Linked DNA regions of Sus scrofa. The protein of the gene in region 3 purifies or fractionates together with the protein of the main gene of each other region. This does not show direct contact. Links are inferred from orthologs where the notes say so. Each region holds a gene or a part of one and is shown on either strand. Other genes may lie near its edges.

What was found.
Region 1: the proteins of NUP107 (region 3) and TPR fractionate together in Homo sapiens (co-fractionation; 4 studies listed by BioGRID and IntAct, with this or other methods). This does not show direct contact. The link is inferred for Sus scrofa from reciprocal best matches to the Homo sapiens genes NUP107 and TPR.
Region 2: the proteins of NUP107 (region 3) and NUP37 purify together in Homo sapiens (affinity purification with mass spectrometry; 7 studies listed by BioGRID and IntAct, with this or other methods). This does not show direct contact. The link is inferred for Sus scrofa from reciprocal best matches to the Homo sapiens genes NUP107 and NUP37.
Region 4: the proteins of NUP107 (region 3) and SEC13 purify together in Homo sapiens (affinity purification with mass spectrometry; 8 studies listed by BioGRID and IntAct, counting the BioPlex papers as one, with this or other methods). This does not show direct contact. The link is inferred for Sus scrofa from reciprocal best matches to the Homo sapiens genes NUP107 and SEC13.
Region 5: the proteins of NUP107 (region 3) and NUP43 purify together in Homo sapiens (affinity purification with mass spectrometry; 8 studies listed by BioGRID and IntAct, counting the BioPlex papers as one, with this or other methods). This does not show direct contact. The link is inferred for Sus scrofa from reciprocal best matches to the Homo sapiens genes NUP107 and NUP43.

What each region holds. Positions count from the first base shown.
Region 1 is NC_010451.4:127,526,886-127,530,402, forward strand, and holds part of TPR (nucleoprotein TPR), read right to left. Parts: intron 2,996-3,517; coding exon 2,855-2,995; intron 2,459-2,854; coding exon 2,367-2,458; intron 2,123-2,366; coding exon 1,925-2,122; intron 1-1,924.
Region 2 is NC_010447.5:82,090,185-82,094,251, reverse strand, and holds the start of NUP37 (nucleoporin Nup37), read right to left. Parts: upstream 2,814-4,067; 5' UTR 2,724-2,813; exon of another isoform or gene 2,306-2,723; intron 2,281-2,305; exon of another isoform or gene 2,256-2,280; intron 847-2,255; exon of another isoform or gene 846-846; 5' UTR 813-845; coding exon 636-812; intron 1-635. UniProt on the Homo sapiens protein: Component of the Nup107-160 subcomplex of the nuclear pore complex (NPC). The Nup107-160 subcomplex is required for the assembly of a functional NPC.
Region 3 is NC_010447.5:33,027,655-33,031,171, reverse strand, and holds part of NUP107 (nuclear pore complex protein Nup107), read right to left. Parts: intron 1,472-3,517; coding exon 1,402-1,471; intron 1,077-1,401; coding exon 958-1,076; intron 235-957; coding exon 196-234; intron 1-195. UniProt on the Homo sapiens protein: Plays a role in the nuclear pore complex (NPC) assembly and/or maintenance. Required for the assembly of peripheral proteins into the NPC. May anchor NUP62 to the NPC. Involved in nephrogenesis.
Region 4 is NC_010455.5:66,517,906-66,521,422, forward strand, and holds part of SEC13 (protein SEC13 homolog), read right to left. Parts: intron 3,239-3,517; coding exon 3,194-3,238; intron 1,028-3,193; coding exon 912-1,027; intron 1-911. UniProt on the Homo sapiens protein: Functions as a component of the nuclear pore complex (NPC) and the COPII coat. At the endoplasmic reticulum, SEC13 is involved in the biogenesis of COPII-coated vesicles.
Region 5 is NC_010443.5:16,262,983-16,266,499, forward strand, and holds part of NUP43 (nucleoporin Nup43), read left to right. Parts: intron 1-2,106; coding exon 2,107-2,336; 3' UTR 2,337-3,517. UniProt on the Homo sapiens protein: Component of the Nup107-160 subcomplex of the nuclear pore complex (NPC). The Nup107-160 subcomplex is required for the assembly of a functional NPC.

The DNA.
Region 1 (3,517 bases), on a different chromosome or scaffold from region 3:
TTTTGCAAACTTTTGCAACATTATCATTAGGGATTTAGGGTACCATTTTGAGAAGCTTGGTATAAGCATAAAATATCTTTGAAATGTTATGTTTTATCTCAAATTCATATAAATTTTGCTGCTTAATGCACTGTTTTGATATAATGTTTTAAATATTAATAGAGTAAAAAATGCCTCCTATTTATTCTGGTGTTTCAAATACCTCTGAGCACAATGCCCTCAGGTTATATGCATAAACCAATTTCAATAGGAACAGGTTTGTGAGAAAATTAACAAGTGAGCCTCGCAGAATCTAGACTGGACATGGTCCATATTATAGATAGAAGATTCAGTTAAAAGATACAGAAATAATCTTTAAATTCTTTGGCAGTTGTGAGAGAAGTATGTAGGGAGTTTGCTGTTATTACTGTACCTATACATCAGTGAAAGAATTAACAGATAGCTTTTTCCTACAATGAATAGCTACTATTATCTGATTCTTAATCACCTCTACTTTACTATCCCCTTCAGGCAGTAAGTTTGAGATAAAATGCTCACTCTTAACAGTGAGGAACTCAAGATCTACTTAGATCCAAAGGATGGCCTTTGTCTAAAACCCAGTATCTGTCAAGACAAGCCTGGTAGACATCATTTCACCCAGGAGAAAGAGATCATTAGATTTATTATACCCCGATTTAAACTGAAGTCTAAATTACAAGAGCAACAGCAACAAAAGTTTGTTTGAATTAAGGACCCAATTTACTTATACTATTCTCTAAGAAAAAAAAAAAAGGAAAAAGAAAAAAAATCTATTGGTTTAGAACGAATAGATTTAACTAAATTCTGTCAGCAAGACATGTTTAATAAATCTTGAAGATTTCTCATATTAACAGTTATATCCTAAAAACAACATTATTAGTGTATACGCTAAATAAATCATTATATATTAAACAAAAATCTTTTTTTCTTCCCTTTTTATAGCCGCACCTGAGGTGTATAGAAGTTCCCAGGCTAGGGGTCAAATCAGAGCTGCAGCTGAGGCCTACGCCATAGCCATGGCAACATGGGATCCTTAATCCACTGAGTGGGGCCAGGGATTCAACCTGCATCTGCTCGGACACTATGCCAGGTACTTAACCTACTAAGCCACAATGGGAACTCCTAAAAAGGAATCGCAACAGATAGAGAATATTTAAAAATTTCCTTGATAATTTTTTTTTTTTTTGCTTTTTAGAGTTGCACCCACAGCATGTGGAAGTTCCCAGGCTAGGGGTTGAATCAAAGCTACAGCTGCTGGCCTATGCCACAGCCACATCTGCAACCTACATCACAGCTCACATCAATGCCAGATCCTTAACCCACTGAGCAAGGACAGGGATCGAACCCACATCCTCATGGATCCTAGCTGGGTTCACTAACCGCTGAGCCACAAAGGGAACTCCTCCTCGATACTTCAAATATGCAAAGAAACAGTAACAAAATAATGCATATAAAGATTTGCCAAACTGTGAAATCTTATGAAAAAAAAAAAAAGAGTTCTTTTCAATGGTCAAACAATATTATCACTTCTAGACAGAATATCAGAAATGCCTGACAAAGCATGACTCTGCTAAATTTAAAGTTCTATTATAAAGAGACAGTTACATTAAACAGTAGCCCAGAGATTTGCCTATTTATCATCAACTAGAGAACCCTAAAGAACATACTCCAAATGTCTTAAAAAATGTAAAAGGCTTTCATAATTTCAGCTAAATCAAGGTAAAATATTTTGCAACTACAGATATTTAAAAGTATAAATGACAGGCTTTAAAATGTATAATTACCCTATCACTGAAAAGGCAGTTAACCTTTTCTGACTTAAATACTTTAAGAAAGAACTGTCCTACCTAGTAAATCATTTCTCACATGTATTTTTCTACAGCTAAAATTGAGGAATGGAACCAACCTTCATAGCTTGTTCAAGCTTAACAGACAAACTTGCGACAGCTTTCTGTGCACGTTCATACTCCTCACGCTGGCGTTTCAAAATCGGTGCTTTGGCTTCAACTTCTTTCACTATTTCATCTAGATACTTATTAATTCTTTTATTCTCTAGTTTCTCCAAAAGCAACTGATCTTGAGTTTCCACATAAGCGTTATATAGCTGAAAGAAGAGAGGTCATTTCAAATCTAAGCATAACAGAAGCATATAACTTAGAATTACACAAGATGGAAATGTTTACTAAATGTTCCACAGAACCAGGTACCAAGAAAGCCTTTCCCAGGATGATGTAATAATCATTACACGACTAAGAATAATTTTTTTGGAGAGTGTGCTTTGTTCTTAACTCAGAGAGATCTGAACACTTGTGCTGAGAGAAAAGAACAAGATTTAATACCATTCTTACCTCAGTCAATTTCATGCCAGGTTTCACTATCTTAGCTACAGCTGCTGCAGTAGGAGACATGGCTGCAAGCTCTTCTTCAGACAATATGGCTCCTGTGCCAACACATAGAAATGTAGTAAACTTTTGTAAAACTTCAAACTAAAGCCACTGTTTCCTACAAGTGAAATGCGACACCCACTGCACATTACGTATAAATTCCTACGAAAATTCAAGTCTGACAACAGTCATGTTCTAAAAATCATGCAGTAATTATTGTTAAAATGATTCTGAAAACTGACACACAATTATGTGTGATAAAATGGTACTTACATCTGATAACACAATAAAGATACAGGTAGAGTAATGATAAACTAAAAATAAATTCTAATATCATAACTTGTTGAGTTTCTCATATCACACTATCACAGCAGCGAAATACTATTAGTGAAGTGAAGTGAGAAGGAAGTCTCAGTATTTCAGGCCATTAGTAAGCATATACCAATCCATACCTTTACGTTTTGTGGCAGAAAGCAGGTCATTTGCATTTTCTAATTCTTTCTCCAATTTCCCTATTTTCTCAAGCATTTCTTTTTCCATTTGACCTTTAGATTCCTCTACCTCTAGAAGATGATCTTGTATTGCTTTATTGGCTAAAGACAATTTTAAAGACAGAATATCCAAATAAATAAATGAAATTTTGGAGTTTATAAGACACAGAATGGTCATTATTTTTCTCTTCAGCAGAAAATATTAAATTCTAGAGAGGCTGTGGTTGACAGTTATTATTCACTATCATGCCTGAAGTGTTCTGGACTGGTGAATTTATTTCCCTTTTGGATATCTCTTACATGGGGAAAATAAGGGAATAAAATGGTAAAAAAAAAAAGAAAGTGGCTCTAAATATCTCTGGTTTTAATCTAATCTTTAGAATACAGGAAATGACTAGAAAAGATGATAGCTTACAGTAAAAAAAGAATATAAAAAATCAAAGACTCCAAAATACACTATTTATAACTTAAAAAGTAATGCTTATTTATGGATTAAGACAGTAACCAAATTATAAACCTATATGTATTTATCAAAGTAAATGTTTCAAAAATGGAAGAAAAACTTCCTACTAGAAATCAGGATATATGTAAAGTTATTAGATGAAAGAAACAGAAAAACATTAG
Region 2 (4,067 bases), about 49 Mb from region 3:
TATCATAACTGCTATAAAATCTCCTGGAGGATCATTTTTTAAACTCTCCATATTAGTTTGTTTCCTATGTCAAAGTGGAATGTGGAAAAGGTGGGTTTCTAATTAGTATTTTCCCTGTAGATAACAATGTTCAGTGAAGCGTATCCTTCGATTACCAGAATATTCTACTTCTAATCATGAAGTCAAAGAGGAGCGTGTGTGTTTGTGTGTGTATGTGTATCTCCATTATCCCTGAACAACACAGAGGTTAGCATGCCAACTCTCCACGCAGTTGAAAATCCTAGTATAACTTGCAGTAGATTCTCCCTATCAGCAGTTTCTCCACATCAGCAGATTAACCGAATGCAGATCCTGTAGTATCCTAGTTTTTACTCCTGAAAATAATCCATGTATAAGTGGTGGACTATGCAGTTCAACCCATGTTGTTCAAGGGTCAACTGTATTCTTCTTTTTCACTACTTTTTTATTGTTTGCACAAATATCAGGCATATATTACTGAGAATATCTTCATACCATTTTTGTTTTACATTCGAACTCAATATACTTCCAAAGTTTAGCCAGTTTACTGAAGTCTGTATAAGTCCTTTTATCAGCGAAACATTTCACTGTCATTCATTGCAGTTTTATACACTAACCTGAAATGTACATGTGCCAACGACCACAAAATTATTGCCACCATAAGCAATCAGGTTTCCTGAATCCCCACTCTCAAAGGGATTGAATTCTACCACGTGCACATAATCTTCACAATCCACAGTGTAGGCAGCATTTCTTGTGGGATCTTGCTTCATCCTGTATGGCAAAACTTGCATAAAAATACCCGTCTATCGGAAAAGGTCACGAAACTGTGGATTAAGCACAAACACAGACAGAAATGGTCAAAGTGCTATTTTCAACAAATTAATCAAAATAATAATGTGACGAAAAATAGCTAAAAAAATTACTTAAATACTTTAAATAATACTTGCAGTGTGTCACCACTAAATTCTGTTTACACTGTTCAAAAGATAAAATCAGTACTTAAAGATAGAACTACATTAATATATACATTCATTAAAAATTAATGATGGTTGACATTTACGGAGCACTCCTTGCAGGCGCCATGTTAAGTAATTTCCTGACATTATCATGTCTAACACTTGTACGAACCTAAAAGGGAGGTATTACCTATGGTTCCTATTTTATAAAAATAGGGGAGGTTGGAGTTCCCGTCGTGGCGCAGTGGTTAACGAAACCGACTAGGAATGATGAGGTTGCGGGTTCGATCCCTGCCCTTGCTCAGTGGGTTAACGATCTGGCGTTGCCGTGAGCTGTGGTGTAGGTTGCAGACACGGCTCGGATCCTGCGTTGCTGTGGCTCTGGCGTAGGCTGGCAGCTATAGCTCCGATTGGACCCCTAGCCTGGGAACCTCCATATGCCGCGGGAGCAGCCCAAGAAATGGCAAAAAGACAAAAAAAAAAAAAAAAAAAAGAAAGAAAAAATAGGGGAGGTTAACTAGCGTGCCAAGCTCATAAGAGGAGCCAGAATTTGACTTTTGCAACTTGGGTTCCTAGCCGCGTCTGCGACCTACACCACAGCTCACAGCAACGCCAGATACTTAACCCACTGAGCAAGGCCAGGGATAGAACCTGCAACCTCATAGTTCCTAGTCGGATTTGTTAACCACTGAGCCACGGCGGGAACTCCAAGAACAGCTAGAATTTGAAAGACTTTCTTTTTTAAAAAATTGTTTAAGAAAGAAAAATTTTTTTCCATTGTGGCTTATTTTCGACAAAGCACTGAGACCAGGTCCACCCAAAGGAAAGCATGTCACTTCCTCCAATAACTTGAAGATTGTGGCTGTTCTTAACCTGTTCCCTGCTACATTTCTTAGTTAAATTTCTTATGCATAAGGAGCAGTTGTGCAGGGTCACGGCCCCTCTTATGTCCTATCTTTTGAGCACTAGTAGTAGAGAAGAAAAACACAGACTCCTGCCTTGAAGGAGCTCACAATCCAGGGTTATTTATGATTCAGGGTGAAAAGTGCTACGATATAAGTAAATACAAAATATAGAATCCGGAGGAAGGAGAGCAAAAATATAAGAATAATATTCATAAAACCAGGCACAAAACAACTAACCATTTATAAACCTGGGGTGCATTCTGGAAGTAGCATTCCCAAATGATTCTAAAAAGGTCCCCCCCCCCTTTTTTTTTACTGGATGGTAGGGGTTGTCCTGAAAACAGCTGGGCTCGATAACAAACAGGTCAAATACCTGATGCATGTTTACTGAGAATCAGATGAGTTCCACCTCGGGAAGTCTATAAACCTTACGAGTGGGTATCGGAGGCTGAACATTTGTTAAGGGTGACAAGCAGGTAAGATGTGGGAAGTGCAAAAGATCCCAGATCAGGAAACTCAGTTCCTAATGATTCATTAAAGTAGCGCCCAGTCTAATTACGTTCTCAAGTTCTCTTTGTACAAGGTAGGCTGGACTTGCCCCTCTACTACTGCTGGGACAGAGGAAGGAGGGAACAAGAGAAGTGTCTGCAGAGCCCTGACACCTCTTCCAAATCCAGGCAATCCCGCGAGACGCCGCTATCACCTCCCCGAACCTGAGGTCTGAAGGAAGAGTAGTGGGGAACGGTCCTGGAGAGAGGAGGAACTCTCAGGGATAAGGTGGGGGCACGGGGCAGCCGGTAGCAGAGCGGGGCGGTCCCTTGGGCTCACGCGCGATACGCACCAGATTGCGCCTGGAAGCAGCTAGAGGGGAGCTGGCGTCCGGTGGGGGCTGCAGCGGCGCGCGCCGACTCTGCTTCCGGGTCAGAGGGCGGGAGCGATGATTGGCTCCCGGGCTCTCCCGCGAGATTTAAAGTGTAAACCCGCGATCACGGGCACAGTCGCCGAGCTGTAGTCGGGCCAGAGCTTTCTTCAGGCGAGTCGGCGCTTTTCCTGTCTCCCTTCAGTCAGGTGAGTGTCACCTCTTCCTCACCTGCCTGTCACACTTTAAGTGGCGCTTCAAGCCGCGACTTGTGAGGATTTTTCGGTAACCAGCAAAGCACATGTGATGGTCTAGGGTATTATTTGTGCAGTCTTTGCTCTGGAGCTTGGTTTGGTTTGGGGGTGTTAAACAATTCGTAGGACCCAGTGATGGAGCTGGAAGGCTTTGTGAGCCCTACTTAGATTCATTAGTTAGTCAGAAAATCAGGATTCCAGTCCTAAGACATATAGACTCCAATTCCCCACTTTCGCCTTCTCCTTGTTACATCCTCCCAAGGAACTGTTCGGACCTGTATTCTGACCCTGGGCAGCAACTGACTGCCGTTTTTTATTGAGCACCTACTAAGTACCCGGCACTAGGTGGATTATTTACTTGTCTTACTAATGTCTCATAATGTGAGGTAGGAGATATCTTCCTTGTTTTACAGATGTAGAAGTTTATGCTCATCAGGTTTTAAATACTGAAGGACATACAGCCAATAAATGGGGACCCTGATGTAGACCCTGGATGGTCTGACTCAAAAATGTAGTTCTTGTAGCCGTCTCACCCTGCCTCCCCAGTGACATTTCCCCTCCTTTCAATTTTTGGTGCAGTGCAGCCTGGAATCTAATTTTTAAAAGCAAATGTTTAGAATCATTGCCGCCTTCTACTACTGTTTTTGTATAGTGCAGCCTGACATTTGAATGCTTTTATATTCATTGTCTCATTGATTTCTGGAGGGTATTATACCTCTACCTAGGCAGTAATGTAAAGTTTATTGCCTGGACTCCCACAGCCAGCTAGCTACTGGAAGAGTCCAGACTAAACCAGGCTTGGCAAACTGGTGATACTTCCTGTTTTTGTGTAGCCAGTTCCTAAGCTAAGAATGGGTTTTACATGTTTGGATGGTTGGAAAAAAAATCAAAGGAAGAGTAGTATTTTGTGTTTTGTAAAAATTGCATGAAATTCAAATTTCCCTTTTCTGTGAAGTTTTGCTGACGTGCAAGTATGCTTATTTGTTTATGTATTGTCTATGGCTATTTTCACACTGCAAGGTCACCGTTGCATAGTTGTAACGGAGACTTTATGGCCTCCACAACTTAAATG
Region 3 (3,517 bases):
AGCAGTGCTTTTTAAAAAGTTCATTTCAAAATTTCATATGTATTTTAGAGAGTCATACAGACACAGATTTGTGCTGCTAAACACAATTAATTTTAAATTTCAAAAGAAAGTACTTATGATAATTAAAAGATCTCTTATGGATTCTGATGACTTTCCTGCCACTGGATATTAAAATATTATCATTCTGAAGTTTACCTGTATGTATGTCTTTAAAACCTCAATGGAAACTTCTTCCTTCATAGGAAAAAAAGAAAGATATAATTCCATTATAAACACAATTGCTTACATATACCAACAAATACATCTAATAAAAATTCTGCTATAATGATTTTTAATATTTACCATTGAGCAATAACTATATGTCAAGTAAAGTACTTAGCGAGGTTTACATTCAAAGTTAAAAGCCTGATTTAACCTTACCAGACCCTTTGTCGGTAGTCACTATTATTTGCATTTTTCAGAGGAAGAAACTAAGACTTGTGGAGGTTTCATTTACCCAGAATTACACAGCTAGAAGCTGCTGAGCAAGAATGTGAACCTAGGCTCCTTACTCCAAAATCCAGGCCTTCAACCGATGTATTGTTCTGCCTTCTACATGTACTCTGAGCAAAATGTTACCAATCATTTAGGACAGAAGAAAAAGAAAAAAACAAAACAAAGGTTTAAAATCTCATAGAGAATTTAGTCTGGTTCAGTCAGTTTAGGAGGTTGATTTAGGGCTCACTATTGATGAGGATTCGAATTACAACTTCACCAAAAACCAACCCATCAGCATTCTGCTGCCACAGATCAGAACCCTAATGGGTCACCACAGTGAGTGATCAGTGAGTGACCATATGAGACTATATGCACCCTTATCACCATTTCTTGAAAACAACAAAAAAGCAGTATGTTTTCCTGATGACAAGTATATAGCATCAGCCTTGCAGGAAAGGCATGCGGCTCATTTTTATTTACTTTGGTCTGCAGTCCCAGAGTGCGGAAAAACAAAATGAGGTGAGTCATGAAGCGGAGAAGGTGTCCAGGTAGATTGTTTCTGCTCTTGGAAAGCCATTTGCTAAATTCATCCATCAAACCTACAAGCCACCAAAGCAAAGATTCAACAATAGGGATAAAAATCAAAATTAGAAATATAAACACTACCCAAAGGCATTTATTGTATTCCCATAGTACTACTAAATCACTATCTCATTGTTAATAACCATCATATAAAACAGATATTGGATTAAATTCAAATTTTATTTTCTAACAACTAAGTAAAGAGTTATATTCAAATAGGCTGATATTTATAAAGTGTAAAATAAAATACGTAGTAGTTATGTGCACCGTTCTGATAACTTTCTACAAAATTATTATAAGAAAACAAAGAACTCAAACAAAGCAAAATAAAATATATCTTACCATCAATGTCTCCAAGGATAAGGAATTTTTGAACTATATGATAATGTTCTTGATTCTCTTCCAGAACTCTCTGAAAAAATTTTTACATTTTCTGTAAATCTATTGTGGATATTCTGTAGCATGTACTCACTGGTAAGCTAAAACTGTCTCAACTTTTGAAGGAATATATAAATATATGTATATATATATACACACACTATATATACATAAAAAATAAGCTGAAAATGAAGGGTCTTAGGAGACTAAAGTAAAATAAAATATGAGAAGGATATTGCCCTTGGAATATATATTCAAGGCTGAATATTATCTTTGGAAGCAAATAACTATGATAAAACAATTAATCTCTGTGAATGTTATGAAAATCTTATTTTTTATATTTTACTACTGTTTTTCTTGGCAGTCTATGGTGACCAGAAAAGAAGGGCCTCTGTAACTTCAGCAAAATAAACTGTAAGATTTCCTTCAACATAAACAGCAGTTCTTGAATACATTCATTGGGTTTTCGCTTTTGCAAATGGTACAAAGAGTAACAAAACCTTTCGCAGTACTGATTAGACACAGGGTAGAAAAAGCATTTATAAGTAACCTGCTGTTGGATTTTTTTTTTTTTAAGCAAATAGTTCATTTATTTTTTGTCAAATGTATTTTAATTTTTACTTGTCTAAATTTTCTTTCAGCATTTCTTTTTTACATTCATATATCTGCTCCACCTGGAATTGATTTTAATACATGGCATGAGGTACAGATCTAGCTTTGTTTTCTTCCAGATGGAAAGTCAATTATGCCCATACTGTGCATGTAAATAAACTATCCCTCTTCCTCTGAAAGATCATCTCTGTCATCTATTAAGTTCTCATATATATTTGGGATATGGACATCTACATTTCAGTGATTCTATCTGTTCCCATACCAATTCCATACTGTTTTGTTGTATGTTAATATTTTTTTATTTACTTTTTTTTTTTTTTGGTTGTTGCTGTTGTTGTTTTGGTCATGCACACAGCATGCAGAAGTTCCTAGGCCAGGGTTCAAACCTGTGCCACAGCAATGACAATGCCAGATCCTTAACCTACTGAGCCACAAAGGAACTCCCTATATTGTTTTATTATTAAGCCAAGTATCCCATAGCTAGTGTTCTTTTCCAAATTTTCTTGCCATTCTCACTTATTCTTCACTTGGGAATTTTCTATTCAGAAATAATATCCCAAAGTATTAGATTTCTATGTTAATTTTGGAATGACTGATATTTGTATCAAATCCTCTCATACAGCAACATGTGACATCTATTTATTTGCATCTTTCAATAAGATACTAGTTTTCTTTCTGGAGGTCCTCAAACCTTTGGTTGATTTTATTCCTAGGTAACTTATAGCTTGGGTCAGTAATTTAAATGGGACTTTTTTAGGGAGCTAAATCCTTTTCTAACTAGCTGTAACAAATAGTTATAACTTTTGGGGAACTTTGTCTTGAATTTAGATACTTAAAAAATTCCCTTATTAATTATAGTAAATTATTGAGTCTTAAATTTCCAGATTTATATTTTAATCATATGTAAATGTACCCCACCTCTAATATTTGTATCTATTCCTTGACTTTCATGTTTTATTTTCATTCACTGGAATCTCCAAAATAACAAAAATGGTTAAAAAAAAAACTTGACAGAGAAAATATTCATTCCTTTTTTTTTTTTTTAAATGAGAGTTGCAAAGTTTATTTCAGGTTCTCTTGTTTTTTTGTATTTTTTTTTCTTTTTTGCCACACAGGCAGTATGTGGGAATTCCTGGGCCAGGGATTGAACCTACGCTGCACAGCAGCAACCAGAGCCACAGTGGTGAAAACGCAGGAGCCTCAACCCACTAGGCCATCAGAGAACTCCCTTAATTTCCTTACTATACAAAGAGCTCTCATACAATAAGGAAAAGATAAAATCCAACAGAAAAACAGTTGACAGATCTGAATAGGTAATTCATAAATGGTCAATAAACATAGAAAAATTTGTTCAACCTTATGAATAGACAGGGAGATATGGAAACAGTGAGCTCGTATCTCCCACCTACTCTGATGAACTGGCAAAAAGTAAAAAAAGTGTGAGATGTGGAACTGGTGAGAATGCAAG
Region 4 (3,517 bases), on a different chromosome or scaffold from region 3:
AAAGTGATAGAAACTATGTCTACTACTGGGGTTCCTGGCCTATAGCTATCATTGAAGGAAATGCTAAGTATTAAAGTCCCTGAAAATAAAGATGTGACTTTTTTTTTTCTCCCTTTCCTAGTTTGCCACTGCCTGAATTCTATCCACAGAAGCCTTGGAGCTCTGTAGAACCAGGGTAAGAACCCCCAGTCTATCTCTCGTAGTGAACTAAGGGAAAGCACTAGAGTGTGGCCATAAATATGAGAGCCAGGATCTCAAGAACCTCAACAGGGAGAAGGGTAAATCAAATGCTGTAAATACCCACTCAGGGCCTGCCATGGGCCAACAGGCAGAATTATGGGATTTATGTAATTACTATTATATTCTTACATTACCACCTTTGAGTCATTTAAGATCATGCGGACTAAACCTTTTCTTAAAAAAAAAAAAGTAGTTTTTCGCTTTTAAAAATAGCAGTAGCTACCAGAGTTCCCTTGTGGCACAGCAGGTTAAGAATCTGATGCTGTCACTGAAGCAGCTTGGGTTGCTGTTGTAGCACCGGTTCAACTGCTGGCCTGGGAACTTCCACATGCAGTGGGCGTGGCAAAAAAAAAATAGCAGCAGCTACTGAAGGCTTGCTGCCAAGATGGTTCCACCCAGGCAGAAGGAGCATCAGTTCGAAGGATCAGTTTTGTAGCAAGTGAAGGCTACAAGAAGTAAACAGACTTTCTTACCCAAGGTCTTTTAAGGGCTTCTGGGTGGCAGAGCTGGGATTCGCTCTGGCTCCATGAGTCTGGAACTCTGGGTAGCTAGGACCGGGTGCCCTCTCTGCCAATGGAACTGTGGGCTGCTCTGATCTGGGCTCTCAGCCCTTCCTGCCATGTCTGAGAAGCCCCAGTACTAAGACTCTGTCTAGCATCGGCTCCACTCACCCCCTGAGGTCGGCGATGAGGATCTGCCCTCCGTTGCGCACATCGAAGATTTTGACGGACCTGTCTGATGAGCAGGTTGCCAGACGGGTGCCATAGTAGTCCATCTGGGCATCATGCTGCAAAGGGAGGAGAGCTGGGGCAGCCTGCAGGCTACGCGGATGGGTGTGGGGAGGGGTGGTCACCAAGACAGAAAGCCTAGTTTGGACCAGTCTACCTGACATTATTTGAACCTCAAGGAATCATCACTACCAGGCAAAAAGCTAGTAAGTCAACATTCTCACTTCTCTGAATGGCAATGTCTTTCTGAAAGGGCCAAGAAAAGCTACACCCAGCTGCTTTCAGACCCCTTACATCATGGAGAAAGTCCTCTGCAATCCCACTCTGCAGAGTGGGTATGGGAGAAAAGAAACTTGCCTGGCCTCCCTTGTCTTCCTTCTTCCCCCAGCCCCAATGTGTCCTGAGGCTCTGTGGGCTACCAGGGAGGTTCAGCTCAGCCTCAGAATCCAGGGCTAGTGCTGATCCAGAGGCACAGGCCTCTGCCTGCCTGTAGGCCCCAGTCAGGTGCTCCATGACACACATCTGTTCTGTACATGGGTTGGCTCCATTCAGACATTTAGCACCACTCCCACCACCCGCCCCGGATCTTTTGTGGACCCATGTTCCTGTGTTTCCACTTGACCTTTTCCCTAGCAGTGTACCCAAGATCCCAGATTCTTCACCCATGCCTTAAATGCTACTGGTCCCACCACTGATGAACGGACTTCACTGATGCTGTCTGGCCATCAAGACCCAGGGCCAGGCCCTGCCCACAGCTCCTTGTCCATCCAGGTGATGGTTCCTCTGAGCCACTCTGCCTGTTGGCCCTCCTGTTTGCTGACCTTGTCTATTCCAACAGATGGCACTTTCTTCAGCTATAGCACCTGGGGTTTCAGGGACTATCCGCTCTTGTGGTCATCAGGAGCAACTACATCCTTTAAGAGGGAAGCAATCATTCTGTCTGCATCAACATTCCTTCTGCTTCAACATTCCTTCTTCACCTCCTTACCAAAGGAAAACAGATTCTTCTGGGGAAGTCAACCCTCCACCACTTCAGGTCTTGGTTTTTTGGAAGGCAGGCAGAGCAGGGGTGAGGACAGATTTCTCTGCAAGTGTTCCTAAAGTACTGCTCCTGTAGGGTGCTACCACACACTTGGGAGGAAGCAGGGCACAGTACCTATGAGATTGGAGCCCTCTCTCCTTAGGTTACCATGTGCAACCTTGGAAAAATTTCCTAATCTCCTTGCACTTTAGTTTCCTTATCTTCAAATGGAGCTAATGATGGTATCTGCTTCAAGGTTTGTTATGAAGGTTAAAAGGGGTACTTAATGGACAGTATTTAACATGGGGTGTGATGTCCATGAGCAGGCAGACATTAGTCATCACACTTTGTCTCATCTGCCCCTCCACAGGAACCCACACAGAGAGGTGGCATATCCATTATTTTTCCCATTTTAGCTATGAGGAAATCAAGGCTGATTCAGACAAGTTAAGAGACTGGCTTGGGATCTGATTGGCTCTTCTTGCCCAAGGTGCCGAGCTGTCTCCAAGGAATGTGGTCTTACAGCCAGAGCACACACATGACTGTGTTCAGGGAACATACACAATTTTGAGGCCAGGCAATCTCCCGGACGCAAAAGCAACTGTAGGTGGACAGATGTAGGACAGGATGCCTGGCATGAAATGCTGTAGGCTGGCCGGACCTAGGTTTTGTTCAAAGGCTGCCTGAACTCCCTGGCCCTGCATGAAGCAGAGTCTGTGTCTTTGCTGCTGGAGACTTTAACCTCTGGACCTTCTCCCACACACCTGTCCTCCTGTACTAAGCCCTGTGCTTGCGTCTCAGCAAATACCCTGATTTAACAACTTATGGTTCAAAGGGCCTTGTATGGCTCACTGTCTGTGGTGGTCTGACCTGGCTCTGCCTCTGTATAGTCATCCTCCTCCTTTTTCTTCTTTTAACCCCCTTTCCAATGGGGCCAAGACGTAGCAGCAGGAGAAAGATAGGTTGGAACACTATTTCAAAACTCTGCATTCACTACCATCTCCTTCCAGAACATAGGACTAAGGCCTTGAGCTACAAACTGTTTCTAAGTTCCTCCTGCCTTGCCAACTCAGAGGGCACTGCCAGAGGACCCCTGAGGCCACGGCCTGGCTGGCAAAGGCTGCAAAGCAACACTGGGTTCATAAACAATGAACAGAAATGCCCATGTCCACAGCCCATGAGGAAGGGCTAAAGGAGTACTTACTATCATGTCCTCATGGGAAGTATCCACAGTGTTAATTACTGACACCTAGAACCAAAGATATTGAATGCAACCAGTTAGAATGCAGTCATCTCATTAAATTCACTGCTCATTTCTCAAGTCCTCCACTGCATCTGTTCATTCATTCATTCATTCAGTAAAGGGTCAGCGTAAGTGCCTTCATTGTGCCAGGCACTGTGCCAGGGACTGGAGACATGGACACAAATAAGAGGTACTTCTTGCCCCCATGAAGCTTGCACATAAGTAACCCTAATAGGGCATGAAAAATACTTTAATAGGGTTTCCCTGTGCCATAGCAGCCTGAGG
Region 5 (3,517 bases), on a different chromosome or scaffold from region 3:
GGATAAAGTGTGTGGAAAGTAGGATAAAGAATTAGCCGGGGGAGGGGCCGCTGGGCAGAGAGAACAGATTTGAGCAGAGATCTGAAGAAGTAAAGGTACAAGCGCCAGGAAAGTATTCCAGGTAGAAGACACAGCAAGGAGACAGAACAGCAAGGAGGCCTTTGTGGCTGCAGTTCAGTGATTGGGTGTGGAAGAGGGACCAGATAGTGAGAGGAAGCTCAAGAGCAGGACTCTGTTGACTGGGTTGAGGCCTACAGAATTTTTTTCTAAGTGTGGTAGAAAGCCACTGGAGAATTTTGAGCAGGGGAGTGGCATAATCAACTCGTGTTTTTCCCAAGAATGACTTTGGCTACTGCATGGAAAATAGACTGCGGGGAGGGATGGTAAAGGTGGAAGCAGAGAGAGCAGGGAGGAGACTTAGCACAGTGGTTCTAAGGCTAATTTTCACAGTACTCAAAAGTAATGTAAAATATAGGAGCAGAAAAGATAAAAATGAAGAGGAAAGGAGCTCCCTTCATGGCTCAGCAGTTAATGAATCCAACTAGGATCCATGAGGATGCGGGTTCGATCCCTGGCCCTGCTCAGTGCGTTAAGGATCTGGCGTTGCTGTGAGCTGTGGTGTAGGTTGCAGATGCAGCTCAGATCTGGCGTTGCCATGGCTGTGGTATAGGCCAGCCACTACAGCTCTGATTCGACCTGTTGCCTGGGAACTTCCATGTGCCAAGGGTATGGCCCCAAAAAGAAAAAAAAATCAATCAGCAATATTTAAACCCACTGAGCTTTTTCTTTTTCTTTTTTTTAAAACCCACTAAGTTTTAAGCTTCAAGGTATCAAGGACTTTGCCCTGTATTCCCAGCACTTAGCACAGAGCCTGGCATATATAATAGGTACTCAGCCATTTGGTGAATAAATGAAATCTGTCCTTATTTGATCTGGAAAGAAAATTGCAAATGATGGCTAAAACTAAAATATACTGCTTCTGCCCCCACTTAATCCTATATTAAATGCAGGAGTTCCTGTCGTGGCTTAGCGGAAACAAATATGACTAGCATCCATGAGGATGTAGGTTCGATCCCTGGCCTCGCTCAGTGGGTTAAAGATCCAGCATTGCTGTGAGCTGTGATGTAGGCTGGCAGGTGTAGCTCCGATTCACCCCCTAGCCTGGGACCCTCCATATGCCAGGTGTGGCCCTAAAAGACCAAAAAATATGCAGACCACTGTCAGAGATAAAAGTTTACAATCCGGTAGTGTTGTAAAATTCTACTTTTAAGAACATTTACCTAAATAAAGGCTGAGAAGAGTTCCCGTCGTGGTTCAGTGGTTAATGAATCCGACTAGGAACCATGAGGTTGCGGGTTCGGTCCCTGCCCTTGCTCGGTGGGTTAACGATCGGCGTTGCCGTGAGCTGCAGTGTAGGTCGCAGACGAGGCTCGGATCCCGTGTTGTTGTGGCTCTGGTGTAGGCCAGTGGCTACAGCTCCAATTTGACTCCTAGTCTGGGAACCTCTATATGCCATGAGCATTTTTACCATTTCTTGGGAGCGATGTTTTTTGGCATACTTATCTAGAAATACATCCAAAAATTTTCTTATGATCACTTCGTTTTTTTGACTATCTAAGAGCTTAGATGTCTGTATATTATCTACATTTACTCTACTTGTCTTTTGGCCATTTTGCTATATTTCTGAGACTTTCCATTAAAGAATAAACAGGAAGACAAAGTCAAAATGAATCTTCTCCTTTGCTGAAGTTTTCAAGTTTGATAGCCATTTTATCTCATGGAAATTTGAGTGTTTAATATCACTGAATAGATCTTTGGTCAGAAATGGTGATGTGAATCATTACAAAATAAACTAAGATAAAATAAAATATAAAAAAAAAAGAAAGGGTGATGTGTTGGAGTTCTCTCGTGGCTCAGCGGATTACGGATCTGGCGTTGTCACTGCTGTGGTGCTGGTTTGACCCCTGGCCTGAGAATTTCCATATGCTGCAGCACAGCTGGGAAATAAAGAAGTTTAAACCTTGCCTTTTTTAAATGTGAGAATTTCAGATGTTTACTAGGATAAATTTAATCTTAAAAAAATGTTTTCCTCTTTTTTTTCCCCAGGAGGAAGAAGCAGTACTTTTTTGTCTCATAGCATTAGTAACCAGACTAATGTTCACCAATCTCTTATAAGCTCCTGGCTCAGCACTGATCCTGCCAGAGACCGTATTGAAATCACAAGCTTGCTTCCAAGCAGGACTTTGTCTGTGAACAGTTTGGATGTTTTAGGTCCTTGTCTTGTTTGTGGAACCGATGCAGAAGCAATTTATGTTACTAGACAACTTTTTTCATGAAGCAACTATAAGATTTCAGGTAAAACATACAGTTAGAACCTTTCAAATTCCAACTTCTATGCAAATTTTTATTGTTAGCAAATGTGAACTTTACAGGGGAAGCGTCCATAAACTATCGTTAATGTTTATGCCCTGTTTTGGCTTGTTAGTTGAATATTCCTCTAACAGTTGTTAGAGTCTAGTTGATAACCAATGGCAAAATAATTGAAACGTGTGGAAGAATGTCAGAGGGATCCTTGTGCTGGTAAATGTAGCACTTTCAAAACAATTCTGGACAGCTTGTGGAACCAGCTCTACATTTTTGATGATGTAGGGCTTAATAATGTCAAACCACCAGTGGGTTCCTAATCTTTTTTATCAGCAGTATGTGGGATATACCCCTCCCTGGTGGCATTAGCCCTTGTTAGTCTTTATTCCTTTTACTGCACATGTTTTCTGCAGTTCCTCCACATTTTATTTCCTTAGTGATTTCAATAAACTTTTTCAGAAAGATTTTTTTTTTTCTGTCTTTTGTTGTTTTAGGGCTGCACCTACGGCATATGGAAGTTCCCATGCTAGGGGTCTAATTGGAGCTGTAGCTGCCAGCCTACACCACAGCCATAGCAACACCAGGTCCAAGCTGCGTCTGCGACCTACACCACAGCTCATGGCAATGCCAGATCCTTAACCCACTGAGCAAGGCCAGGGATTGAACCCGCAACCTCATGGTTCCTAGTCAGATTCGTTAACCACTGAGCCACGACGGGAACTCCCCAGAAAGAATTTAATGGAGCAAAAATGACAAATTTTTTGTAGTGTTCAGATTTTTTTCAAGTTGAAAATGTTTTGACACATTCCTTTATTAGAATAGGTTTGAACAGAATTTTGTCAACTCCTTAGATTCATCTTCATTTTTCTTGAAAAGAAAAAAGACAAATACATTTATCCTAAGGATTTTGCTCTTTTTTTACACTGTATTTGAAAATTGCTGAACTGGACATTGTGCAATAAAATAGAATTTGACATTGATGAGTAAGCTGACTTCCAAACTGATATTTGATGGGTAATATGTATGAGACTAGTATGATGGGGTGGTAAGAATAAAGAGTTTTTCCATCTTTATCTTTATCCAAAATGTTAATGATACCCTAACATGCAGCATTTTAAGACAATTTAATGACATTGTGTTTCCAAAGTTTGTT